2 linked regions of the Drosophila melanogaster genome follow. The protein of the gene in region 2 interacts with the protein of the main gene of each other region in a pairwise test. Each region holds a gene or a part of one and is shown on either strand. Other genes may lie near its edges.

Region 1 (3,755 bases), on a different chromosome or scaffold from region 2:
TAAATCATTACGCAAATTTTATTTATTACTAAATATTTTATTTATTTATTTAAATAGAATATGTCAAAGAATAAACCAGAGATAATAAAACAGGACAAAAGCAGTGTCAACGTGTTTACAATTATTAAAACTTCGAGTGTGGAGATTATAAAGTTTCTTCTTAATCCTAGACGGAATTTACTCTTTGTCGAGCCGACAACGGCTAAAGTCTGTCGACATGCAGGAATGTTTGTGGAGTATTAGCTTACTATATATTGGCTAAACTGGCTTTAAACATTGTCGAATCGATAAAGAAACGCCATCAAGGGCATAATTCGGTGTGATTTGAGTTCGGGACGCAATATGTGACTGGAATGTAAAGTTCACAGAATAAATACGTAAATATTAAATAAGATTCCACAGAATCCATTTATCTATCATCTATATTGCACCATTGGTAACGCACTAGTTTTGCTTGTGCAAAGCTGCTCCGTCGGTACGTAACCCATAGGTCAGCTGGGTTTTCATCACTGCCAAACTGCTGCCAATGATCTTTTTGTGGTAGATCTGCCGCGTAACGAACCCAAAATCATCATAAAAGTCGCGCTCACTTTCCTGCCACTCGGAGATAGTGCACTCCAGTGAGGCGTACCCGCCGATAATGCAGTTCTTGACCACCAGTTTTATCATGGGGTCCATGATCGTCTGACACGGGTAATGGGGATCGATGGCAAAGCGATAGATCCATGCAGCATTGTATACGGCGTGGTGATTCTTCACACTAATAGCGGCCACAATCCTGCGCCGGAATTTCCTCGTGTATGTTTCCTCGTATGGACAGTTCTCGGTAAATATCTGGTAGCTAGCTTCCTTCGGTGAGCAGCGGAAAATGAAGGGTTCATAGCACTCGGCCACCAAAGACTGCGATGGTTTGGTCTGGAAAGTAAACGTTCTTAGTTTGAGATACTTTGCTGCCGATGCTTTAACACTTACCCTCATCAACTCCACTGCCTTGGAGTAAAACGAGAAGTAGGTGCCGGTAAATAGGCAAAATATGCAAGCGGGCACAGTGAGTGCACAAAAAAGCAGGGGCACTCCCAGAAATATGAAGAATATGGCCCACGTGATGACTATGAACTGCAGGGTGATCTGAAAAAAGTTGAAATCCAAATAGTTCATAGAGTTTGGGGATCTAGATAAAGATGTCTCACCTCTCGAAAGCAATAGACAAAAAAGGACTTATTCGAGAACGACATGATGTAGTCCCGCACCAGCTCCTGGCACTTGAGCTCATCATCTTGCGTGTAGTTGCGAATGACAATAAATGGCTGCATTAATGTGTTATTAAATTATTAGATAAGCCGAACCAAAAAAAAATAAAAACACCGATCAATCAGTGTGTCCAAAGCGATGCAAAATCCACTACTTCTTATGGCAAAACAGCTGTTGCTGCGGTGTTGCCACTCGAGACAGATATCGGCAAAGAGAACTCAAGACTGATAGCGTGAGAATAACTATCGCAAGAAGTTTATTTATTAGATATAATATTTTACAATGTTTGAAAATTAGTCTTCAACTCTTATTTTTTAAATGTACACCTGTTTGAATAACTATTTTAATTTATCGTTTGTTCCATTTATTTAAAAGAATCGCTTTCGTGAGCTTGCCGTGAGCTAGCCCAATCACGGTGCCATCTCTCATGCCAAACACTCTGACTTTGATCTGGCACTTTTTCTCATGACGTGTCGGCGAGCTTAACTTTATTAAAGAACTACTCGAAAAAGTCACTGCAAATAGCCGAAAATGCGCGACCAATTCATCAGCCTGGCCCTGATTCTGTGCGTCCTGCACAGCGCCTGCGGCTTGTACTTCCACATATCGCAGACGGAGCGCAAGTGCTTCATCGAGGAGGTTCCCGACGAGACAACTGTGATTGGTGAGCCAGAGCCTAGTGCCAACTTGGAAGTTTTACCAATCGACTAACTTGTCCTCCTGCAGTTAACTACAAGGTAGAGCTGTATGATCCGCGCTCTAATGGATTCATGCCCTCGTCGCCCGGAATCGGCATGCATGTGGAAGTACGCGACAGCGACGACAAGATTGTGCTGTCCCGCGTGTACAGCTCACAGGGCCGCATCTCGTTCACCTCGCACACTCCTGGCGAGCACGTCATCTGCATGTTCTCGAACAGCACCGCGTGGTTCAGTGGTGCCCAGCTGCGTGTTCACCTGGACATCCAGGTGGGAGAGCACGCTATCGACTACGCCCATGTGGCGCAGAAGGAGAAACTGACTGAGCTGCAGCTGCGCATCCGCCAGCTACTTGACCAGGTGGAGCAGATCACCAAGGAGCAGAACTACCAGCGATACCGCGAGGAGCGGTTCCGTCACACCAGCGAGAGCACCAACTCCCGCGTGCTCTGGTGGTCGCTGGCCCAGACCGTCGTCTTGGTTTGCATGGGCTTCTGGCATCTATTTAACCTGTTCCACACTTGTGTGTACATTAACGAGCAGTGTTTGTGTGTGTGCTGTCTTTATATAAAGAAAATATCTGCCCTTGGCCTTATCAATGATAAGATTAATGGCTTGCCAGACCCGTGAGTCAGACTACAAACGACTTACGGCCATGTCGGGGTGTGTAGAAGAGTTGGCCTGGTTGTGACTGTCAATACAAGTGCTTACATAGGCACACAAGTGTGGGGGAAACAACGCACACACACATACAACGAATCTCGCAACATACGATATACGATAAGTTGTGATGTATATATTAATATATATATCCATTCCGAAACATCCACAAACAGACAAGACCAGACCGATATACCCTAGCACATTGGGAACGGAGCTTCGAACTGAGCTCGGTAAAACGGGGCAAGGTTGGGGCATTATCGCATCACATGCATATGACATCAGCGCAACACTGCGTATACGTAATCTGGCGATAGTACTGATTGAATGAATTTAATGTCAGGCTCTACTAACCGTAGTTCTCCCTTCGTTTTCGTCCCCTTTTCCCCGCAAACAGGTAAACAAAAAATCTACTGTGCGAAATGCACGAAGAAGTGCTCCGGCGAGGTGCTCCGCGTGGCGGACAACCACTTCCACAAGGCCTGCTTCCAGTGCTGCCAGTGCAAGAAGTCCCTGGCCACCGGCGGATTCTTCACAAAGGACAACGCCTACTATTGCATACCGGACTATCAGCGGCTGTACGGCACCAAGTGCGCAAATTGCCAGCAGTATGTGGAGGGCGAGGTGGTCAGCACCATGGGCAAGACCTATCACCAGAAGTGCTTCACCTGCTCCAAGTGCAAGCAGCCCTTCAAGTCGGGCAGTAAGGTGAGCTGAAACCCTCCACAGATCGAGTGATAAGTAACTAATCACATATTCCTCCTCACAGGTGACCAACACCGGAAAGGAGGTGCTTTGCGAGCAATGCGTCACGGGTGCTCCAGTGTCGCCCAGTCGCCAGGCGACGGGTGGAGGCGTCTCCTCGCCAGCTCCTCCGGCGGAGAGTCCGACGAGAGCCACTGCCCACCAGCAGCACGGCAGTGTGATCTCTCATAAGGCGCACCTCAAGGAGGACTACGATCCCAATGACTGTGCCGGCTGTGGGGAGCTGCTGAAGGAGGGCCAGGCACTGGTGGCGTTGGACCGGCAGTGGCATGTCTCTTGTTTCCGGTGCAAGGCCTGCCAGGCGGTGCTCAATGGGGAGTACATGGGCAAAGACGCGGTGCCCTACTGCGAGAAGTGCTACCAGAAGGGATTCGGGGTGAA
Region 2 (3,755 bases):
TTTATTTGTTAATCGGCTGATGGAGGTAAGATAAAAACTTCTTTTTACAGTTCCAAAACTTTGAACTTTATTTTCTCAGAAAAATGGTTCAAATATTTCACAACTTTGGTAAATATGAATGCTAAATTAAATCAGCATTTCATCAACGAATGTAACTTATTATCTTGAATACCTGAACAGTATGTATTATTTGCACCCAAAATAAAGATAAGCCCACCCTCCATTAAAAAGAATTCATTTGAATATTTTTTTCATATTTTATATATTTTATTATTTTTTTTTTTTTGGTTTTTTTATGCGCACTTAATATATAAAATGAATATTGAATAATACTGAATGAAGCCAGATACTCACACTGAAATCCGAACGGGCAGAGCCAGGGGTAGTGCTCGAGATCGTCGGGAATCGGTGTAGGACCTGGAACGAGAACGCCCATGAGAACGACCACGCGAGTGACCACGGGAGCGACCGCGAGACCGGGAACGATCCCGCTTGCGGTCATCTCGCGTGTGTCTTCTCCGCGGCATGTGCCCCTCCTTCTCCGCCAGGATCAGCTCGCAGTCACTGTGGTCGGAACTGGAACTGGAAGATGAGCTAGTGTGATGACTATGACTATGATGTTTGCGTCCTCTGTGTCGTCGTTTACCTCCATCGGAGCTGCGGTGCTTGGACTTGGTCTCCTTGATGGAGAGTTGAGATTCCTGCTGCTGCTGCTTCTGGATCTGTTTCATCACATCGTTCAGCATTTTCTGGGCCATGTTGGCCTTTCGAATGAGACGCTCCATCGACGGCAAGGCCATGTCCTCGACTTCCACGGGCGTGGCATTTGGCAATTGGCCGCGGCATCCTTGACATGCATCCGGCCCTGCATTTGCCGCAGTTTGCTCACGTGCCACGTTATCGGATTGCGACATTTTTGCACTAGTTTACAACTGACCCGATAAGAAATTCACTCAACACTTTAATTACTGATTAACTACTGTTTCTCTGAACTGGATATAACTGCTGCGGAATCTGTTGCTTATGTTTCGACTGCTTCACTTGAACACTTGAATTTGACTGGCTTCTGCGGCATTCGGTCGATGAGCTTTTATAGGCAACTTTGGCGCCAAGCTAATCGCGACTTTCGGACTGTAAACATTTGCCTTTCTTTATCAGTCACATACTCATACAAACCACACGATAAATGTGACGTCATCTGAGCTATTTTTAACCAAATCGCATTCATGGGTTTTTGGGAAATTACTTCCATTGATCACGTGTTTTTAATGTTACATAATTTCATTGCCGAACGTAACCTCAAACATATTTCATATTTTTGCGAAATTCTTCTTACTTTTGTATTTCTGCATATTATATGCATTATAAATATTCTGCGTATTTTTATAAGCATACCTTTTATTATTTTTTACGATTTTGTGAAATATGACATTATTTTGATATAATTTTAATTTTGAATTTCGTCCAAGTGTGTAATTTTAAAACAATTATTTTATCGTTTTAAATCATCGAAAATTTTAAGAATATAAAGTATTAAGAAATTTACACAATTTTTTGAAAATGTTTTGGGATCTTAATAATTGCATAAATCAGGTTTAGCACATTATTTTAGAAATACTAAACGGTTAAATATTTTACAGAACTGCTATTTAATTTTAAGGTATAAGACTACGTATAAGACATTACCGCTTGAGACTAGTATTTTTATTGTGGTATTTTCATGATTGCTTTTGAATTGTGCCCGCCAAAATATGCAGTCTTAACCACAAGCGGTTAAAATCATTCCTTACGTTTACTTATATTTAAAAATCGACAAAAGGTATAATAATTCAAAACTATTAAAAAATTTTAAATAAAACTAAACGAGTCTAAGTTTTCTTAATCAAAATAGCTGTTAATATGGATAAGATATATTTGGCGCATCCAATAGATACATTTAACCGCTGAAGAGAATTAACAGTGTGATACGCCAGACTGTTAACAGACTGTTAAAACGCGATTTCCCGGCTTTGGTATTTTTACATTACCATCATTTGGTTTCTCTGATATTTTAAAAATCTATATAAGCAGCTCGCAACGCATTCTCTCTGTAATTTTTCGGGAGAGCGCAGCAGCGCGCGCTGTTTTTTCGGTTACCATTAAAAAATATTATTAAAGAAACATCGTTATAACTTTAATGCCAACGGAGTTGCGGCAATTGAAACTGATTTTTTAAGCAAACGAACAATAAATTCGACGTGGAGTGTGCTTCTGCTCGCCTACATGAAGTAATAGCGATGTATATTATGATTTAGTAAATATAAATCGATTTAATTAATATTTAAACTTGTTGTTTTCCGCGAGTGGGCGCGTTTTGTTACCAAGCCGCTATACGATTTTCGTTTTTCCGACTTTCCTGCGCGCCGAACGGGTTTTTCAACGAAGCCTTGCTGTCTTTTTCCTCGTAAGCAGCAAAAACAAGGCTGAAAAACTAAATTAAAGCGACTCGCTTCAGCTGCAGATTAATCGATGTGCGGCTATAGACTTTTAATTCGCAGATTCATCATCGATTTTTCCTTTGGGCTCAGCTGCAGTGCGCTAGTGTACGTGTATGTGCGTGTGTGTGAGTTGGTCCTGACAATACAAATAAGCCGTTGTGTTAGGTAAACGGAACAACAAAAGGAAGTGAACCAGAGAGAGAAAGAGAGAGAGGAAACGGCAGGACGATACCGAGTCCTTGAGCGATCATTCATGCTCTTCTTCTTCTCCAGCTGCAGCTGTCACGAAATTTCGCGCGTGCACGTGTATGTGTGTGTGTGGGAGACAGGGAGAACGCCGAAGTTAGTAATTTCTCTCCACTTCTCAGTGTTTGTGCATTCAATTTGCACAAAATTGAAGCGACGCGCTAAATTCGCAAATTTCCGTCCGCGAATTGCCATCCATTATTTTGCACTCCCCCCCAAGAGAGCGAGAGCAATAATAGAATTATCAGGCAAAGCAAAAAAAAAAATCAAAACTCAAGCGAAAAGAGAATGCCCTGGGAGGCCGTAATACCAATACCGCGACCCTCTGACATTTCCATCGTCGCCCACCAAAGGAACAACAACTGAGCGACAAAGACAGCAACAATCCGACAAACAAACAAACAAAACAGCAAACGAGCGAATCAACGAACGAAACTCCAGCAGCAGCCTCAACCTCCTCAACCGCTGGCACAGTTTTCCTCCTTCAACTCCAGCTCCGTGGGTGAGTAGCTACAGTGGAACGCCACTAAGTAGAACATTCTGCGAGTTCTAAGTTAAATTGCAGAGAATATCGCTTTGAGCACAAACTGATTAGAAATTGCCTTCACTTGGTCTTAGAAAGTTTACTAATACCAACTGATACATCGTTTTTTTGTTTGTTAATGTCAGTTTTAAATTGAAATCGATTAACAAATCTTAATGTCCTTTTTATATTTTTTTATAATGGATGTGGGATATGGGGGAAAGGCAAATGGCTCTTACGTGTAAAATTTTATAGTTTTTCCATAGCATTTAAGTACAATTAATTTTCTTTACGAAGAAAATGAAAGTTTTGCTTATGTAACAAGCCAAATTTAAGCAAATATTTTGTTTTTTGTATCAGGATAAAAGTTAAGCTTACCCAATCTCCACTGTAACTCATTGGCGGGTAGAAAGTGGTTATCGAATATGAGCTGCGTCTTATGTTGAAGCCACATCGTCGTGTGGGCGAGAGGGTGGTTGTGGTGGGTCAGAGGTGTGTTGGCGTCGTGC

The links.
Region 1: the proteins of corn (region 2) and p24-2 interact in a two-hybrid assay, tested with the Drosophila melanogaster proteins (one large-scale study listed by BioGRID).

The regions. Positions count from the first base shown.
Region 1 is NT_033777.3:9,690,727-9,694,481, reverse strand, and holds the start of p24-2 (p24-related-2), read left to right. Parts: upstream 1-1,706; 5' UTR 1,707-1,782; coding exon 1,783-1,915; intron 1,916-1,977; coding exon 1,978-2,579; 3' UTR 2,580-2,739; coding exon of another isoform or gene 2,740-2,857; 3' UTR 2,858-2,936; coding exon of another isoform or gene 2,937-3,317; intron 3,318-3,378; coding exon of another isoform or gene 3,379-3,755. Other genes in the region: CG32939 (uncharacterized protein), read right to left, coding at 445-915, 973-1,128, 1,191-1,313; Unc-115b (uncoordinated 115b), read left to right, coding at 2,740-2,857, 3,007-3,317, 3,379-3,755.
Region 2 is NT_037436.4:7,155,406-7,159,160, reverse strand, and holds the start of corn (cornetto), read left to right. Parts: upstream 1-2,087; 5' UTR 2,088-3,225; intron 3,226-3,755. Other genes in the region: CG8620 (uncharacterized protein), read right to left, coding at 351-914.